2 linked regions of the Styela clava genome follow. The protein of the gene in region 2 interacts with the protein of the main gene of each other region in a pairwise test. Links are inferred from orthologs where the notes say so. Each region holds a gene or a part of one and is shown on either strand. Other genes may lie near its edges.

The links. The genes of interacting proteins can lie anywhere in the genome.
Region 1: the proteins of histone acetyltransferase KAT5-like (region 2) and RING finger and CHY zinc finger domain-containing protein 1-like interact in a two-hybrid assay, tested with the Homo sapiens proteins (2 studies listed by BioGRID). The link is inferred for Styela clava from reciprocal best matches to the Homo sapiens genes KAT5 and RCHY1.

Annotation. Positions count from the first base shown.
Region 1 is NC_135257.1:10,032,234-10,042,883, reverse strand, and holds RING finger and CHY zinc finger domain-containing protein 1-like, read right to left. Parts: upstream 4,516-10,650; 5' UTR 4,468-4,515; coding exon 4,256-4,467; intron 3,997-4,255; coding exon 3,811-3,996; intron 3,433-3,810; coding exon 3,328-3,432; intron 2,601-3,327; coding exon 2,306-2,600; 3' UTR 121-2,305; downstream 1-120. UniProt on the Homo sapiens protein: E3 ubiquitin-protein ligase that mediates ubiquitination of target proteins, including p53/TP53, TP73, HDAC1 and CDKN1B. Mediates ubiquitination and degradation of p53/TP53; preferentially acts on tetrameric p53/TP53.
Region 2 is NC_135257.1:5,466,365-5,477,407, reverse strand, and holds the start of histone acetyltransferase KAT5-like, read left to right. Parts: upstream 1-5,545; 5' UTR 5,546-5,962; coding exon 5,963-5,980; intron 5,981-6,890; coding exon 6,891-6,954; intron 6,955-7,548; coding exon 7,549-7,617; intron 7,618-7,824; coding exon 7,825-7,964; intron 7,965-8,135; coding exon 8,136-8,234; intron 8,235-8,910; coding exon 8,911-9,013; intron 9,014-9,443; coding exon 9,444-9,577; intron 9,578-9,954; coding exon 9,955-10,044; intron 10,045-10,448; coding exon 10,449-10,589; intron 10,590-11,043. UniProt on the Homo sapiens protein: Catalytic subunit of the NuA4 histone acetyltransferase complex, a multiprotein complex involved in transcriptional activation of select genes principally by acetylation of nucleosomal histones H2A and H4.

The DNA.
Region 1 (10,650 bases), about 4.6 Mb from region 2:
TTTCTGCCAGAATTGAGCTAACCGATGTGGTCAATTTTCATTTCTTGATGAAGTTTTGGATTCAATGAGACTATTAACATACCTAATTATATTATTGTAATCCTACGAGCTATAAAAACACTGTTAAAACAGAATAAAACAAATTGAGCATTTAAAATCTATTCAGCAGTAGGCTACATGTTTTGATCAAGAAACAGCATAAGAACACTATAAAGGGCAAATAAAAGCAACCTCAAACTTAAGTTTGAGGGGGCGCATGGCATAACCTGAGAGAGTCGAAGGCTCAAATATTGTAAATTAAATGATGTGGATCTTGATTTTTTTTCCCATCAATCACTACTGAAGAGGGTCTTTCTATCATTATTGTGAGAAGTACAATTTAATTAATGTCAGCTTTCATATCTCGGATGATCGTGTTTCATGTCATAAAAGAATAGTCAGTTTAGTATTTTTCCCTAGAAAAATCAACACATGCAACTTGCAGCTATGCATTTGACATAAGTCGAAAATGTTTCAAGTATTTCAAACCACAATTACAAATCAAGTTCAAACGAAACCTTAAAATAACATAACAGCACCAGCATTTTTATGTTAGAGTGGTTTTTTTTTTGTAGCCACTGGGATGGTACAAGAAAGTTGACAAATATTGATAATGTTAATTCACGTCAATATTGATCCCAACACTGTAAATAATCATATAAGATTAAAATATGTATGAAAATTTCAATCCCACTTGAAATGTTGTTAATTAATTATTGTCGGATAACTCTGACAGTTCTTATGCAGAACCTATATACACCAGCATAAAGCAAATTTGTGTTTAAACAAATGTAAGTATTTTTGTACAGTTATGCCCAACAAGTTCGTTTTGCAATATGAGCAAGAGCAGTATATTGTATCAGAAGCAACCAACTAATTGTATATATCTATACCCATCACAGACTAGTGATCTGGTGACAGGGCCATGATAGTATTGAGCCATCTCATCATATTTATCTCGCCTGGTATAAATATGGAAATTTTACTTTTCAATAGGTAGATAGATATTACAAATAGATATTACGCAACATTTTATTTATAATTGATACATGACTTCTCAAAATAACATATCTAAAACAGAATGGTCAGATGACTGTTCAATATGAAAACGCAGAGTATACTTTAATAAAAAGTATATTAATGGTAATGGCTATAATGCTGTTCAAAAATATAATGGGTGACCATGAATACATACTTTACATAGATATATTCATTGTTCTTCATTATAAAAAGTGAAGAATAAAACTAATTTCATACTATACCATCAAGCAAAGTTTATAAATTAACCATTGAATAATTTATATAGTTAAAGGTTCAACCCCCTTTCCTACCACCTTACCCAGGTTGAATGAATTAGGTGAACAATTCTTTCCATGAATAGTAGCTCCATACACATCAGTGGCGGTTTGTCTAGAGCAGGGCTGCACAACTCAAATGAGGATACGTGCCAAATTTTTCAAAATAATCTTGTCGCGTACCACGCACAATTGTGGTATTGTAAATTAACTCCTGCAAAACAAACAAATTTCAATAATAATACATAATAACGGATATCTATTTATTGAAACAATTTAATGTCCTGAAAAACTGCTGATTTTGATATAAACGTGATATTTTAATGTGTATCATAAATATTTTTTTTTCACAAAACTGTTCGCGTGCCACGTTTGAGCGTATGGCGTGCCAAATTTGGCACGCGTACCGCGTGTTGTGCACCCCTGGTCTAGAGCACCGGTTCTCAACGAGTGGGTCATGGCACACTACTAGGCCACAGAAACATTTCCAGGTGGGCCAAAACCTACTGTAAATTGCACAAGAGTTATTGATAAATTTATTTACATTTGTGTCACTATAAATAAATTTTGATTGCAGTAGCAATAAAAGATGCTTCTGTTGTTTGCTGTGGAGTGGTAATTTTCATTCTAATCATCAATAAAGTGAAAGTGTCTTTATTGTGGGAAGATTTTTTTTTTTTGTAGTTTTATCCTGGCATTGAAAAGTTAATGGGCCATGAAATCTTTGTTCAACAAAAATGGGCTACGACAGAAAAAAGGTTGAGAACCACTGGTTTGGAGGTTTATTCAAAGTGAAAACACCTCTTCAATAATTTGAAATTCGTAATTGACGTTGAAATATCTCAATATCAACTGTGTGTGACTAAAAATCATAAATACCAAGCGATAAACATGGAATATTATATCCTTGATAAAAATAAGTAAAACCTGCCAGACAAAAATTAGTACAACTGAAAGGAGTAAACAGTTTGTCAAGTGTGAGGTTCCTCAGTCTCAAGAAGTTTGGATTGAGGTTGCCCTGTTCCACATGTATTGTATGATTTACATTTAGAACATTTCAATCCCAGAACATGAAATCGGACATTAGACACTCCCTGACAGTCCTTACAAAGAATCCATATCAATGTGTTAGCATATTCGTCTGGCATAGGTGTCACAGCAATCTCTTCATCAAGATTTTCCCAAACTTTTGACATTTCCAAAGTCGATTTGCCACATGACGGACATCGATATTCATTGTGTTGAAGCATTACAGAATAGCATTTTCTGGAAGATAAAGGCTTAATTACTTGAAGGGTGTTGTCATGAAGCTATTTCAATATTCATATTAAACAAATAAGGGAATTGAAAGATTGACTTGAACAAATCACCGAATTCTTATGATTGCGAAGTCACTCAATCATAAAATGTTAAAATTTCAAATTCATTAACTTGATGATAAATGATGATATAAAGAAGTGTTGTGCAGATGCAGATGGCCAACAAGTACACATAAAAAACTTTCTATCAAAAAAACTATGAGAACATTCTTTAGCATATGTTAACCAGAACCAAGACAAATAACAATCTTTGGAGTAGAGATAATTTAAAACAAAACTAGTTAAAATCATTGTTACAACTCTTTGAAGAACGACTAGTGACCACCTATATATTTTCCCCTATAAATTAGGGATCCACAAGCTTAAACCACAATCAAACCACAACTAAATTTCACAACTATTCCTTTGATTAACCAAGTTTAGAATCAGAATTCTTTTGATATACCACTATGACTATTTAGTCAAATTTTCTTGTCTGAAAAGTCTTACACACAGCCAAAAGAAAAGTTACACAATATGCAGCAAGACTATCGAGTGATTTCAAGTTTAAATAGCCTTGTAAAAAAGTGACAAAACCTTCGTGAAAAAATTTAAATTCATTCATATCACACAATTGCACCAGTGTGGCATGGTATCATGTTGGTAGATGGGAAAACATTAATGAAAAAACTCACTGGTGAATAAGATGGCCACACGAGGGAACCTTTAATGACTCCGTGGATGTGTGCATATCTTCTAAACACACTGGACAATTGGATTTCGATGATTTTTCCACACATCTTAATAAAAAGTAACAAGCTTGCCACAAGCTCTCAACACAATGTGTATCAATAAAGAACAAAAATTTTAAATATCGTTTTCCATTAATATTTAACCCCTAAGCCAAGGGTAATAAAATATTGCATATTTTAAACCTTCTAAATCAATGCTCAAAGGCTGAATATAATAAATTGTAAATACCAAAAATCAACCTTATTAAATGCCATTGACAAATTATAAATTAAAATGGGAAACAGCAGAGTGTGAATTTGGCATTTTTATTTTGTACATGCATGAATCTGATTGAGAGAACAATTGTTGAGATTGAGGAATTGTTGAAATTGACATAAAAATACAAAACAACGAAAAGAGCATAAATTAATTTGAAAAATACATACTTATGAGAATCCTTGATATCAATACTTAAACATAGATCACATTTCGCGCAGTGAAAAAAATTTGCACGTCCCCCTACTCGACACAAACCACAATCATCACAATGATATTGCTTACGATCTCTGTCATCAAACATGTTACATATAGAACAGTGATATTTTCCAAAATTTGTACTGCAAACTTTGCATCTGAAATATTTTTTAAATTTTTAAACATAATTAGGTCACAAAGCTTGGTTTATAATTTTAATGCCTTTTTAAGAGCTCTTAGCTCAAGGTTCTATTAGATTAAGGAAAATATCAATAAAAAAAGTTTTTTTGAAACTATGTTAGAAAAATGGCCAGTACAAAGAATATATATACAAATTTAAAAAAAAAGCGATCAACTATTTTAACGAGAAGCCAAGAAGCTTGTTATCAAGGTTTTATCATTAAATTTGAAACTGACTCTGGAGAAACTTCTTGAACAGTGCTACAATTGTTGCATTTGATATGCTTCACAAGGTAGCGATTCAGTTTGTGATTACACTTCTCATCATGGCATAGGCGGCAAGGATAAAATTTCCAGCATGTAGAGCACTCTAACAGACATCTTCTTATGTAGTGTGTGCAAATTTCACTCTCTGTCTCTGTGTGAGAATTATTACCTATATCTGACATTTTGAGTTTGTAATTATATTTAACTTATCTGCAACACACATAAATATAAACAATACTGATTAACTGTTCACATTGTAACAAGAACAATAGCAATAGGGACTGGGATATTAATGAATACCAGAATAAATCTTCATATTTAACAACTGACTTACTAATCCCAGAATCCCATACACGGCTTGGAATTGTTAAGTCGTCTTAGGATAGGATTTGCATATTTTGAATTATATTTATAATATTATTTATCGCGGGGGAGAGGAAAGTTGACAAGACAGCGCAATCATATGGCGAACCACAGCTATAACGACTTTCCTTTCATCCGAGGTAAATATGTAAATCTGTATGTAGGTCAGGGTTGTCCAGAACGAATCGAATATTCTAAATTATTCGAATATCAAGGTATTCGAATACCTTTTCGGCTCATTTCCGAATAATTACGAATAGTAGTCACTTTTCCCCGTAAACACGGTGTTTCGTTTTACCGGAATCTTCAAACGACTTTTTACGCTTTCTCACGTATTGTAATGACGATGAAATAGAGTCGGCATTTTGATTGTTTATATTCAGCGCGAATGTACGTCGCATAGTGTTGCGACACATTTGCACGTTTGCGTTGGTGGACATTGCCGACATTCGTCTTTTAATTCACAAAATCATTTCCATTAGTCGAAAAATCGACAATCACCGTATTTCCCGGCTAATAAGTCGCTTTTCTAGACCCAATTTTGGCTTGATTTTTGGGGGAGGGGCGCCTTATTGAGAAAGCATGTTTATTTCATTTCTATGTGGCCTGCTTATTTTTCGCATTAGTCTTCTCAAGCATAATTTGTGTTGAACCTTATATTTGGTTCTTATGGGTCTGCCAATCATGATATTTAATCGTAGGCCGGTTATCGTTACTTAAAAGAGAAAACACGGCCACCGCCACCGAGATAAAGTAAGTGATTTATGACCCTTTGGTTTTGCCGATTCAGCAGAAAACAACAGGGACATGAAACACAGCTGTGAAATAACCCGTGGACGTACCGTGTGGTACTTATCACATTCCAAAATTATTTCAACATTCGGGTTGATAGGTTGTCCAAAATGATTGCCGCTTTATAATTTAAATTTACCGCTTCGTTGTTGAGAATAGTTAATTCCGTGAGTATGGTTCTACCAAACAAACATGATCTGGTTCTGTTCTGACCCTATAAAATTATAGATTGTTCAAAATGATTTTGATTTTTAACTTAAAATTACCGCTTTATTGTTAAAAATAGTTAATTCTGTGAGTATGATTCTACTAAACAAACGTGATCTGGTTCTAAACATTATTATTAGCGCATATTAGCATAACTGAACAACAGGGAATAATTTTTCTACCCGTCTTCTTGGAGGCCTATATGGAAAACCCCCTTTTTTGAGTGCTAAAAATATACATTGTCCTATTTGCCATGTAGACTTATTAGCCGGGAAATACGGTATTTATAGCCGCAATTGTTACGATACCCAATAAATTGTCACAAGTTGGGAAACAAGTTGATTTATTAGAAAAATACTTTCACCCGCTTTCTGGAAAATAATTTTGATAATGATGGTCAAAAGTATCGATAATGAAATGAATGTATGTATGTATGTATGAATGAAATGAATGTATGAATGAAAGTATTAATACCAAATACCACGGGTATTTGTGGGCATGAAATGTGTGGTAAACTGCCCAATTATAATTAATTTCGGATTCGTATTTACAAAATATTAAAACTATTATAACTCAAAAATACAACGGCGATTTGTGGACTTGAATGTGTAATAAAGTACAAATTATTTTTCCGAATTGTGACAATTTTTTCGAGTACGAAAATAGAATCAAAAATTAATTATATTCGGGCACAATATCACGGCATTCTGTGGACATAAATTGTGAGGCAAACTCGCGATTGATATTAATTTTTGATTCCTATTTTGGTATTTACAAAAACAACGGTGATCTGTGGACATTGAATGTGTGGTAAACTACCCGATTATAAATAGTTTTTGAACCCTATTTTCGTATTTATAAAATAATAAAAGTATTATTACACAAACATACAACGGCGATCTGCGGACTTAAAATGTGTGGTAAAGTTCCCGAATATATTTACTTTTTGATTCGTATTTTTGTACTCACGAAAAAATTGTCTCAAGTCTGAAAAAGAACTCATACTTTATCCCGCTTTTTGACAAATAATTTGGATAATGGTTGGTATTTAAAAGTATGGGCGTTTTACTAGGATGATTTTGTGTTGCGCAAGCATTCAAATCCATCACCGATACCACTATTTAAAATGCCTTGTCGTATTATTTTAATTCTGTTAATTAACACAACTCATGTTATATAAAATATATATCGCAATAATCTGCAAACATGAAATGCCTGGTAATATAGCCAGGTTGTAGATAGAAGTTATTCCATTGTTTATTGTATGAAAATTCCTTCATACACTTAGATTCTATTACTGGATTTTATTTTCGAAGTATTCGAAATTTCATATTCGAAAATAATAATTTCGAATGTATTCGAAATAGTGAACTATTCGGTATTGGCCATCCCTGATGTAGGTACTTCCAAACATCGAAGTAAATTTTTTCGCGATATCGCACACTTTGGGAATCACTGACCTAGGCCCTCTCATCGTATAAATCGGCCGTGAGCCTGTGACTGCAACTAATCCTCCCCGAACACAAAATTACTTCGGCCTTCTCAATTTTAAGACAGCACGGTACAGCAGTAACTGGATAAGGTTTTCATCAGTATTTATCCAGTCCAATTTTAATATTCCAAGTTATATTGTCCATTTCGAATTGTACGGTATTCCATGTTGTGATCTGCAGAGTAGGCCTACCATTTGAAGATATTCATTTTAGTTTATGGATTAGGCATATAGGCAGTTCTTCATTATATTGCAGAATGGACAGATGGACCAATGCCCATCATTGTTATAAATAAATCTCTCCCTGCCCCCCATTCCCGACATGAACTGACAACCGGACGAGAGCCGGGGTTCGCCATATGACCCCGGCTCAAATATTGAAATATGAAAATCCCAAGATGTTAACTACGTAAAATATTGTAATATATATTCTGAAATCGGAAAATATTTTACATGCGACGACCTATAAATAACAGACGCAATAAGGTCGTTTATTAGTTCAAGGGTTGGGGTTTCGGGGCCAATTTTTGAAATCCCCGTACCGGGATATCCCGGGATTGAGCTGTATAATCCCGGGACTTTTCGGGATTAAGTAAAAGATTGAAACAACTTGCATGACAATAAAATCACGTAATTATTTCATGTAATAAAGACACAGAAATATTAGAGCATCTAGGACAGTGGTTCCTAACCTTTTTTTTATATCGCGGCACACTATTTAGCTCTTTAAATATTCGCGGCACACCTATCACAAAACACGATCATTTTCTACTCATAAAGAGTGCGATAGTCGAACGCGATCATGGGGGTCTCGTGTAGTTTCGTACCGGTACCTAACGTAGCATAACAATTTTTTGATATGTCAATCCTAACCCCCATCTGATTACGCCATCAAAAAATTAAATCACTACGACATCACAATCACGTCATAGAGCTTGCCAAATATACGCACGATCGATCGAAATGGCATTGGCGCCTACGATAAAGAACTGGCTGACGTTATCGGTCTCTCTCCTATTGGAATCGTTCCGACGACAACTGTTTTCTTACGTTAATGTAAACAAGAGCGTCTTCGGAGCACCTCACATTATTTTAAAAGTTGTGCAGCCGCGAAGTGGACATAACGATCGTTTCAATATTATGTTGTTGTTGTTGTTGTTGTTCTTGTTCTTGTTCTTTGACACGTTTTTAAAAAGTCGCTTTACTCTTCGAATACTGGACCAATTGCTTTGAAATTTTCAGTGGTTGAAGATAAAATTTTTCCCCAGAAGGCTATTACTTTTATTTATTTTAAAATTTCCTGTGGACTTCGAGAGATTCGTTTTTTGTGTTCAAAGAAGTGATCAGAATAAAAAATAGTGACACCTTGTGGCGATTGCGCGAAGGCATATCAACTGAGAAGCGATCGTAATTCTTGCTCCGCTAAGAGTTGTTTATGATGGGATGTTTGGGGTTACCGGTACCCGCAATGCAGCAATGCAACGGTTTGCGATTTCAATAAACTCGAAAGGTTTTTGAGGTTAAGTTAAACTACCGGTACTGTTTCGCGCGGTGTTCAATCAATCAATGTTCACTTTCCATATATTTCAATATTTGTAGACTGTGGTTCCCGTGTTAAGCGAAAGTGATACTGGTACGATACGGTAGCTGGGAAAGCTATGACAGTCCCTGTGGCCTGTACGGCACGTACCGGTACCGTTTACAGGTTTACGTACCGTCTTACCGGTACCGTAGTCCGTTACGGTACGTACCGGTACAGCTGTACAGGTACGATATCGGTAGACTAGTACAGTATTACTGTACTAGTTGCATTAATTATATTTGTTTAGAGTGTGTGCCTGCATTGGAATTAAGTTTTTGTAATGAGCCAGCATGTCTGCACAGCTGCTATGCCTTTCTAATTTTTGGCTGTTTCGTTACATTTTTTTGGAAACAACATTTGCATAAATACGTATGATACCGTATGCAGAGGAAGAAACTTCACAAAAATTTCAACATGTGCAGCAGGTTAGTGTACATAAATCAGTAAATACAGAAATAAGCAGAGGAAGAGACTTTACAAAAAGGATAAGATTTACATTATTATCCCGATGGAGAGGAAAGCCTATAGAACGGCTTAACCATATTGCGAACCACTGCCTCTTGTCTGGTTACCGGTAAGGTACCATTCCAAGTCTGGTACCGGTATGGCTGTATGGGGGAAGCATTACAATCTTTCCAATAGTGTTCAACATGTTATGAAATATGGTGGTTGCGGTTTCATCAATGCAAAAAATATTTGCCGGTTTAACAGCATGATGCAGTTATTGCAAATAGTTTTCGTGTCCATATATTTGAGCTTTGCTCTCTTGTTGTTGTTGTTGTTCTTTGACACTTTTTGGACATCTAGTGCAAAATCTAAAAAACCGCTTTTCTCTTTCATTACTGGACCGATTGCTTCGAAATTTTCACTGGTTAAAGATGAAATTTTTCTCCAGAAGACTATTACTTTTATTTATTTCAAATATTTCTGTGAGATTTGTTTTTGTTTGCTATGACGTCACCGAACGTTCTGCGGACGCATAGCCGACACTCCTCTTCTTTTTGATCACGTGCCATTGAACGTCGATGGTCCGTAACGAAGTCCTTACGGTACTTTTCTACGATTTTTTCCTTACGCTGATCGACGGTACGGTAAACCGTACTGTACTGCGAACAGACGTGTCCATATATTTGGGCGTAGCTCTCTTGTTGTTGTTGTTGTTCTTTGACACTTTTTGGACATCTAGTGGAAAATCTAAAAAACCGCTTTTCTCTTTCATTACTGGACCGATTGCTTCGGGATTTTTACTGGTTAAAGATGACATTTTTCTCCAGAAGGCTATTACTTTTATTTATTTCAAATATTTCTGTTAGCTCTGTGAGATTTGTTTTTGTTTGCTATGACGTCACCATACGTTCTGCGGACGCATAGCCGACACTCCTCTTCTTTTTCACTCCTATTCATCTTGGGGTCATTGCCCATCATTTCTACATGGGTGTGGAGTTTGCAGCAATTTTTTTTACGGCTCGATTTTTGTATTAGTGTTTTTCGTCAAACCTGTGCATCATGATGACGCACAACCTGAACCTGTTACGATACTATGTTCAGGTTGTGCGCAATCTTGGTGCACAAACTACGCAAGCACCAAATTTACTAGGAAATAAAATCAATAACTTTTAGGTATTTATTGAGATATTTGTGTTAGTGTTTTTCGTCAAACATGTACATCATAATGACGCACAACCTGAACCATAACCTATCACAAATTACAATACTATGTTCAGGTCGTGCGCAATCTTGGTGCACAAACTATGCAAGCACCAAATTTACTAGGAAATAAAATCAATAACTTTTAGGTATTTGTTGAGACCAGCTTTGGGTCGCGACCTATATACAGTATATAGGATAGGATAGGATTTACATATTTATGGAAATACTGTCGAAACATACGCGTAAAATAAAGAGTACTATTTCAAAATACCGGTTTTT
Region 2 (11,043 bases):
TAATAGTTTCCAAAAATCGTTCCAAGATATTGTGGCGATTTTGCGCCGATTGGTCTCTAATCGTCCATCGCCTGACGCGCAAATTGACACTAGGAAGTACGTCACGACACTAGGAAGTACGCATAGTATGGGTGTCTCGAAAATGTCTTGTCCCACTTGTCTCTCGTGTCCCACATTTTTGAAACACCCGGACAAGTGGAACACGACGTTTTTTAGACACCTCGTACAGTATCGGCAAATCGTATGGCAAAGTTTCTTGCGCATGATCAACTGGGCGTGGAATATCAGGCATTAAGACCTGAACTGGAGTGAATTTATGGGACACGTCTGTGGACATAACGATCGTTTTACAAATTTTTTTGGACACCTAGTGGAAAACGTAAAAAGTCGCTTTTCTCTTTGATTACTGGACCCATTTATTCAAAATTTCCAGTGGTTGAAGATGAATTTTTTTCTAGAATGCTATTACTTTTATTTATTTCAAATATTCCTGATAGCACTGGGATTTGTTTTTATGCTGGCACTTTTCTTTTTGTTTTTTTGATGACATGCTCATCGAACATCGGTGGTGTGTAAAGAAATTCTTGCTCTGCTATGGCGAGCAGCGCCGTAGGTACCAGCAGCGTCAAAGTAAGAACTGCTCCGCTCCGATGGACGTGTCCATATATTTGAGCATTGGTCTTAATACCTGAAATCTTAGCGTTGGGGTTCGGTTAATTTATTCGAGATGTAAAATTTAGCATGTGCTAATGGGCAAGGATTCATGACTGGATCGAGGATAGAATGAAACACGTCCGACCGGAGTTAATTAAAGCAGTGTTGTTCATTTTGATCTGCTAGAACACAAAATAAAAACAACTGACTCACGCCCGAAAACCCAAAATCGTGTTTACGAATGTTTGCATCGAAAATTTCACGAGTGCAGCTTGTGAATGAATCGGTGAAAACGTTGAGCTGGGATGCATGACCATTTTTTGTTGAAACCGTCGTCAAGAAGTCCAAGAACCGTCAAGTTGGAAACATGAGACTAATAAATTGTTTTCTAATGAATTGTTTTTCACGTACATGAGTACTAACTTGTTTTCACTGCGCACATCCTAGTTAATATGAACATCTAAATTAGGGATTAAGGTAGGCTAACCGAATCTATTGATTTATCAATGATGCAACTTTAGCCTGAACCTTTACAATTTGCATATGGTATATATATATTTACATATTTTTTGCTTCTAAATGATATGGATGAAGAAGATTTGCAAGTTTCGGTTTGTCTGACACTCGTAGTATGAAATATCCAATTCCTATTTGGGCGTATACTTATTTTAAACGCATTCCATGCATCATTTTTTACGCCGTAAACTTAGGATAGGATAGGATTTACATATTTATCCCGGGGGAGAGGAAAGCCGATAAGACGGCTTATCCATATGGCGAACCACGGCCTCTCGTCCGGTTACCATTCCAAGTCGGGTATGGGATTAGTTTTTACTGTATTGTTTGTTTTCGGAAGCATGGACTTGGTGGTGGAGGAAGCCGTAACCGACCAGCGGTTACGTGAACCACCCAACGACGGCGAGGAGTCCAGCAATCCTCTCGCACATAACCATCCCTGCATGGGATTCGAACCTGCGAACCCACGCAGAGTAATTAGAGGTGCGGTGGCGAGCGTATTCCTAACGCTTAGCCCGTTGAGCCACACCGCCGCCGCCAACTTCTTGTGTAAGCTGACAAAAATACATAATGTTGCCGAAAAACATATCCATTTCTTCGATTAAAACAATATCGTCCTGAATTGATGGTTTGAATTTATTAGAGAGCCTTCTAGTAGAATACCTCATATACAGTGGCGGCGCGTGGTCATTTTGACAACCGGGGCAAGCTACTGCGGGACCAAGTCACCCCCATCTACGGGGACAGGATGAGCAAAACCGGTCCAAGTCAAGGGATTAATAAATATAGACATAGTTTATTTTGAAACCTTATTCAAAAGGAAAGGCAATATTTACCCAGATAAATACAATGACATATTAACAGAAACTTCGGGAAAGCAGACAAAACCTAAAATAAGGTTTAAAACGTTACTATGAAGAAAGGAAAGTTAATGCAAAGATAAGGACATGCGTCGCTCACTCATAGATATATATGCTGCTAGGCTTCTACTGCTTGAACATATATGCAACACGCCGCGGTTTCTTGGAAGCAAAATGCTCAATAACGCGCTGATTAAAGTCATGCATCCCAGAAATAACGTCTCTGTGAATGGATAAAACAGCCAAGGAATTTAATCTATCTTGCTTCATTGTGTTTCTGAGATACGTTTTAATATGCTTCAGCGTGCTGAATGTTCGCTCTGCGTCGGCGGAAGAAATAGGCGTCGTCAAAAAGATGTCCAGAAATTTTGCAGACGCCGCAAAGGTAGTTACTAGAGTGTTATCTATGAGGAACCTATAGAGCGCGCAAGTTGATGTGATGTTCAAAAAAGTTTGATTGATGTATATACATCGCAATTCATTTTCCAATTTACCCACGTTTATCATGGGGTAACATTTGGAGACAGTAGCCAACAAATGGATGGAAAATTGACGTGCAAATTTTGAAAATTTTTTGGGGTTCATCAAAGAGAACACGGCAAGGTGTCCAGTGCGCAGACGATCGCCTATTTGATTCACCAGAATGTCACAGCATTCCTTTGCAGACAAAATCAAACGCTGCGTTGTTTGCCCGCGCGTAAAGAAGCACTCCATGTGTCGTCGTATTTTATTGTTTCCCGGATACGAGATACAGCATCGCAGAAGTCTGAAATACACGACTGCACAGACGCTCCATCCATTAGCCTTGACTGCAATGCGCCGTATAATACATCCACGTGATAGAATATTGTGGAGAAAAAAATGAAAACTCACCATCTTCTAGCAGACGCTTTAGACCTGCCGCCTCCCTCACAGAGCGTTCGTCCCAAACCGGAGAGCTCTGAATGCCATTGAAACACTCAATGAGCTCAGACCTAATTTCGGACACGCCCTGCACCACGCGTGATTGGAAGTTCCAACGTGTTGGTGCACAAGCTGGGAGACGGCGGCTACATATCTGGCGAAGGAGGTCAGAGCGCTTCGGCGAAACGGAAAAAAATGAAGAAAACCCCGAAACATTTGCTAAAAATATACGGACGAGAGGGGTATCAAGACACATATTTTTAATAACGAGGTTAAATGGGTGTGCATAACAATGTAAAAAATGCGCATGAGGAAAATCTTCTTTTATATAAACTTGAACACCATGTTTCGACCCACTCATGACTGCCGCGCCGTCATAAGTTTGAGCTATCAATTTTGACTTCGCGTTGTAAGGCTGTAACACTTCTTTCAGTACAGCCGATATCCCGCAAGCCGTGCGATCAACGATTGGTACAAAGCTGTGAAATCTCTCGGTAGGTTTACCATCTTTCACAAACCGAAAAATCACAGCCAGTTGGGAAACGCACGTGATGTCAGTTGTCTCGTCGGACTGAATCGAAAGGAACTGGCAATTCTCAATTTCCAGAGCCAAATGTTGTAAATAAATTTTATACATTGAGTCGAGCAAACATTTTGGATATCCTTAGATGTCCCTTTCGAAACAGTTGCGGCATCAAGATGATCTCTCAATACTGTATCTAGGGATGCGGTGTATTCCACCATATCCAAAAATACCCCTCTATTAGAAGAGCCAGCCCGTTCACCGTGCCCACGGAGGGACAGCTCGTGACAACCAATGAACTTCAAAACATCTATCAATCGACCGAGAACATGGCGGTTTTTCTCGACGTTTTGGTTGTGCCGACGAATAGAAACCGCGCGTCCTTCATCCAACTGTGCTGCAATATTAACATTTCCGAATGTTCGGTATTTTACTGCATTGTCCAGATGCTCCATAGAAGATTGATGATCCCTGGCACGCTCGGAAAGATGTTTAAGATCTCTAAAACCAAATTTACACCAACGTGAGTCACGGGCGGTAGCAAAAAGTAGGCAATAAAAACCAAAAAGTGCATTTTTGTCCTCGCTGTAACACAACCATTCGTGTTTTTTATACCAAGTTTCTGCGCAGAATGTACGCCGACGCTTTCCTCCGTCATGGGATTGTTCCAGTGAACAATTTTTTGGTTGATAAGGCCCAATACGTTGACGTTGTACCTCTAATTTTTGTTCCAGCGGCAGCTGCGAAAACGGAGTGCGAAGTAGTGCATCAACCTTATTCATTATGAGGTCTAAGGCTAAGAAATGCGAAGCCGGAAAGAAGTGAGGAGCTCAAAAGGAATGTGGAAAATCGAAAGCAAATGGACTAAAGGTCTCTAACTGATTCAAATAGCGAAACAAGCGACAAAAACGAAGGCGAGGAAACTATCAACTCTTCAAGCAACCAACGAACGAGAAGGAATGCGTGAATATGTCAACACGTTGTAGTAAGAAACGTCGGCATTGTGTCGTCATAATTTCGGGGCTAGCCCCGATCGGCCCCGATGATTTAGTAAAAGAAACAGAAAAACAAACGAGACAAACGCGGCGAGTGGAAGATAAAAGAGAGAATACGATATACAATGAGCAACCGGGGCAAAATCGGCGTCGCCCCGTCGACGTTCGGCGAAGGCTTTGCGAGCGAAAAATGAACCATGTCGGGAGAATATGGCTAGTGTAGACAGTCTGTGCAACCGATATTGAGGTATTTTTCGAATATTTTTTATTATACCGAAAAAACAACCGGGGCATTGCCCCGGTTGGCCCTATTGACGCGCCGCCACTGCTCATATATATATACTGTACTAATTTTGTAAAAATAAATCAATTCAAATGAAATAAATTCAAGTGTTGTCTCTGTTTATTTTTCTCAAAGTAAAATTTCATCTAAAGTGTTTAGGTCAAGTCAAGTTTATTTTTTCCAATCAATTAATCAAACCATGATGGTGCACTCCTCCCGGTATATATATATTGGTTCATTTTTGGATTTGAAATTTCGCTATAATGTACATGTTGCAACATACTTTATAATAAATATTTATATTTCTTTTCTTGGAACAAATCTTTAGATAAGTATCTATTTCGGGAAAAAAAAAGAATCAAATGTATTTATAGAGCAACTATTTATGGTGAGGCCAGAATATTTCAGATCGGACGTAACCAATCTGGGAGGCAATTCGCGAAAACTCGAATATATGAAAATGGAAGACACCCCCCGAAATAGGCCCTAGTGTTATTTTTCGAAAGAAAATTGAAACAAGACCCTGTCTTATTTTCGGGAAAACACGGTATACGTATATATAGTATTTCTATTTCTGTGAACCATTTGACAAAAGCTATTATCCAATATTTCAATGCAGTTTGAAAACGAATGACTTGAGCTGCTAACGTTTTTGACTTATTATCTTTCGGATTCCAAAGTTGGGGTTCGACGGGGGCTCGCAGAATATCGCAGGGGTTCGGGAGGCTCGCAGAATATCGTAGGCGTTCGACAGGCTCGTAATCGTAAAGGTTGAACCACATCCTATCAGAGTCGTTTAGGATAATTATTTTCGCTGTGAATGTGGTATTGAAAGACGAATAACTCATGATCCTGTTTTAGACGAGTTATTCATATGGAGGACCTAAGTACAAACGTTATAAAGTGTTGTTTTCCAAAAGACGTTCCGGAAATGTAATACGGTGGGTTAGTTGAGTTCGCGCTTACAGCACCGGTAGGATTTGTACAATTTTTATATTTTCCATTTATATTTGTTTTGGTTGACGAATCAAAAAATTTCCTCTCTCTCTCTCTCTTTTGTTTTGTAAATCTTACCCGATAATGCCGAATTATCCATGTCGAGGTATTCACGTGACAGCGATATATAAAGTGGTGTTTTCCCGAAGCAGTTTCATAATAACTGCATCGCTGGTCGCACCGGTTAAAAACAAGTAGCCTAGAGCGATATTGGAACGGCGTCGTACGGAATATGTCACAAGGAATGAAGGTATGGTTGTATTTATTTACGGTACTGGTATATTTAGGAGTTAGCTTTATAATCCAAATGTTGAAGTTCAACATTTGAATCATACCTGTACAGTTTACGATATTACCTGTACTGCTGTAACGTTACTGGTACCATAATTAGTAAATTCTATTCAGTCTCAAACGTGTTCGAGAAAACTTCAGCACATTGCATATTTCTATCCTTTCTTATGAACGGACCCTGTTTACTCTTATAAGTATATTCATGGTCAGATAGTCCTGTATTCCAGGGTTTCCCAAACTGGGGTTCGCGGACCCCTGGGAGTCCGTGATGACTGCACAGGGGGTTCACAATGACATGACAAGAGTCTGATCGTTAAGGATTGATGTCAAAGAAAAAGCCATTGCACTTGGTTGAACGCTGCGTACGCATATTGCTGTTAGAAAAGGCAATTAAAGGTCATATTGCCTTTTGCAAAGACCTACATGCAGACATGTGTGGCAGTATTTTCAGCTCTTACCAATATGATGACAAAATACAGGTCGAGACTTGCCCTAGAGTCGGATCTACGAACTTGCTCGTCACAAATTGCTCCGAGAATCGATAAATTGCTGAATTGTGCAGTGAAACGCAACTTCATCCATCACATCAGCAAATTACAGACATTAATGCCGTTTGTGCTGTAAATGAAACATTATCCTTTTTCGTTGGTTAGGCACAGAAATTGATACAGTATACAGTATAGGATTCATCAAAACTAAGATAAACAAATAGGGGTCCGCCGCTCAAAAAGTTTGAGAAACCATGCTGTATTCCAATCATCTGATGGTCTGGATTGACTAAAGTTACTTAAAAATGAATTGAGTTTTGTGATCAAAGTTTTCAATAAGCTTCTCGTATCTAAATATTAATCAATACTATTTTTTTAAAGGCTGGTGTTATCGAAGGCTGTCGAATGCCTGTTCAGAGAGACCTGGAGGGTCAATTTGAGTGGCGTAAGATATTTTTTTAATTGGATGTTATTTAAATTCAGTAACACTATAATATTATGCTGATTACACTTGAAGTTGAATAGCCTACAAACTTTTTGCCTCAGACTTTCACTCCTCGGACCTTCCCAATCAGATGGCATTATGACGATTTGAGTAATGACTTACACAAACATTCATAAATTTATTCACTGCATCTACATGTATTTATATATTATATTATTATTTTTGGACAACTCTCAAATCTGGTTGAAAAGGTCCACGAGGCAAAACATGTGTGGCGCGAAAAGTTTGTATATCAATTCTATACCTAAAAACATTGGTACAAAATACAAGTTTCAATATTGGTGATAAAATATTATGTTATCTATTTTGATTTAATCACTTTTTAGTCCAGCAGATTTTGGCGAAGAACTATTTTTCAAAATATTCTGAGTCTTGATTTGTCATTTCATTCCAAAGCTTGATAAACCTCCCGCATTTAAACTTTTACAGTGTATATAGGGCACTATGATATTTTTTCATAATGTTTTCTCTTCTTTCATAAAGTGTGTATGAGTAAGTTGCAACCCTTTTTAAATGTCTCTATTTGTATTTCAGATCTGGCAGAAGTTCTCAGTATTCGAGATGTTAACAACAAATTTGAATATTATGTTCACTATATTGACTGTAAGTTTTGTGTAAATATCAACATTGCATGACTGGCTGATGCATTATTCTAATACTATGTACATATATAGAAATATTAAGTTCCATCTATGTTCATCAATAGATTTTTTCCTCAATTATCTGGAAAATAACAGCTGACCTATATAGTTGCATTTTTACTATGTAGGAGTGAATGGAAATTTCATAATATCTTTTCATTTTTGATAGTTAATAAAAGATTGGATGAGTGGGTTGCTGCAGAACGACTTGACATGTCAAAGATTCAATTTCCAAAGAAAGATACAAAAATAGGAACCAAAAGAAGCAGTGACTCTGTCCATAATAGTCCTGATAGGGAAATTGTTGTTGTAAGTACTTTTTAATGGAATACAAATAGATAATCGAATGTTGCTTTTGTGGGCATTCTATGCTCGACTACTGTTTCTGAACTTTTGTGTGAATGTGAAACGTGAGGATGGGAATGCTGTTTGCTGCTTTTCAATTTTTCTCTCAGTTCAAGTTTGTGATTTCTTTTTCAGCAAAATGGAACTGCGCATCCTTCAAAAGTTACGGCAGCAATTAAAAAGATGCCAAAGATAGGAAGAAAGAGAAAAGGACCTGAAATGGGACCAGAAGAGGTAAGAATCTTTGGTACTCCCGTAGTATGGGCAACAAGATGGCAGACACCGGAACGTAGTATGTGTATCAGGGTTAGGCCATAATTTCAGGTACAAATACTACAGGAGTCACTTGGCTAGTCCCCGAACTTGTAATATAACTAAAATAAGGAAAATTGGAATAAAATTATGGCCTAACCCTAACCTCGTACACATACTATGTTCAGGTGTCTGCCATCTTGTTGCACATACTACGGGAGCGCTGAATCTTCTGTGTGAGCGATTTTTTTTGTGGCTGAGCAAATTTATTTCCAAACCAGTGCTCATGGATGAACGGCCATTGTCTGATTTGAATCAAAAATGAACCAACGAAATTGAATTTTCGAACTACAATAAGCATGCAGTTTAATCTTGTATAAATCAGTCATGTGAGATTTGACTTAAATTTTGACTTTTGCCCACCAGTAATTGCTTGTGCTTTTGTGATTTATCAATTTACTAAATGACGTATTTGTTCCATCTTCATTCTAAACAAGACTATGTGATTATTCACTGACACAAAGCTACTATGGGAGTTTGAGGAACTGAGACCATTCTTGTTGAGCATATCCCACACAATGACACTGATTTCTACAAGAGTACAACATGCTAACCACAAGACATATACTCCCTGTTTCAATATCTTCATCTTTTAAAGGAATCGCAAGATTCATCAGACAATGCTCCAAGACAGACCGGGAGTATGACAGTTCATGTAAAAGAAGATAAAATAAGTCGAATCAAAAATATCCATTCCATAGGTGAGGTTTTATACATATCAGCTGAATTGGGTAAAATAAGATAACACTTTAAACAACAATAGTAATCATCATCTTATACCCCAAAGCAAAATTCATGGCACGCTTCAATTGATTAATTAGCATCATACTTGTTCATTATTTGATGTCAGATGTATTTTATTTGGTATATTTAAATTTTAATTATGTAGCATATATTTTATGAATATTTTGAATGTGGTATTTCATTAAAAATGTTTGCTGTTTGTTATCAGTGGAAAGCTTGTCATTGATCAAGCTGATTAAACAGTGTCTACCACCTTGTGGATAACATTAAAATTCTTCAATTTACTGTTTTATTATTTTAGTACCGGTAACTAAATCAAGATTTGTACTGAATTTACTTCATCAACTTTGATCTAAATTCTAAATCTTGCTTACATTGTTTTTTCAGAGGTTGGTAAATACAGATTGAAACCTTGGTATTTTTCACCTTATCCTGTTGAATTAACTACATATCCTGTTGTATTCCTCTGTGAATGGTGTTTGAAATATGTTAAAAGTTTGACGTGTCTTCAGAGACATTTGGTAAGACATTTTAATTTATGTCCTAATGATAGCAAGATGTTTATAGTAGTGCGTATTGTAGTAATTTGTCCAATATCATTGACACCAGTCTGAATGTTAACTCTGCATACTGCATTTGAACATGCACTGCATTTGGCACTCTGCAGAAATTGGCTTTTTGGGAACGTTAGCTCCATCCTACAGCTTTCGCCTTTTTTGTTAGAAGAAACCTTAGTGAGCAAGTCCCCTTGCTATATAGGCAAATTTTTTTTCTATTTAACTATTACTATAAAATGTTGGTTAAATGACCATCTAATCTTGTATTGAATTAGCTCACCATTTTAATGCGTTTCAATTTTCAATTATTTTGTTATCAAGCTATCTACCCTTTTTTTTAGACAAAATGTCAGTTGAAATATCCACCAGGAAATGAAATTTACAGAAAAAGCAATATATCATTTTTTGAGATTGATGGGCGAAAAAACAAAGTTGGTATATACTTAAATTTATATACATAAAGTATAAACCCATCAGTATGAATACTCTTGATTTGTAAATTTAACAACATAATTTAAATCATGGATAGCTGAAGTTGAGTACCGCATTTGCATTCGATATATTGAATTTTTTCTTCAGAAATATTCTATATATTCCAGTTTGAAAACCTGTTATTTCATGAAATTGGCAAAAATGTCAATATCTAGATAAAGTTGTAATAACTTCTTGAAATTTATTGCCAAGTGTGGAGTTGGCGAGGTAATACTATTGATCCAAATTTCATATTCCATGTTATATCAAATCTGTGACAAAATCAAGCGGCGTGTTGTGCATTTTTTTGTTAAATAGTTGTTTCTATGTATAGTATTTTTATCTATAATCTATTTTTATTTAGTCCTACGCTCAAAATTTGTGTCTTCTTGCGAAATGTTTTCTTGATCACAAAACACTGTATTATGATACAGATCCGTTTCTATTTTACGTTATGACGGAATATGACAGTAAAGGATGTCACTTGGTAGGATATTTCTCTAAGGTAAAAATTTTTTTATGTGATTGTGCGTATTTAAATAATATTGGATAAGATAAGAACGAGAATATCGGTCGGAGACCGAAGACTTATCGATCCAAAGTTATTACTCCATAGCGACACCGTGTGTCCCATCACTAATTAATTAATAACTCGCTAATTTTACAAGACAATTCATCCAAAATCAATAGGCTTCTGTTCCGAGATATGATAAATGTACATGCAAAATTTGATGCAGATTCAACCCCGTTTTCGTGAGATATCGTCTGTATCTAACAGACAAAAACCTAACAACATACTTACCGATCAAGATCGATAAGTAATAATGTTCTGTGGGCAATTTGTTTATGAACGAAGTCTCAGGAATATCTTTGTCTCTGCCGAATTCCACATCAGAAAAGTGGAATAATTTGTTGTCCTTGTCTTCATCCTTAATCTAATCTAATCATCTTAATCTAAC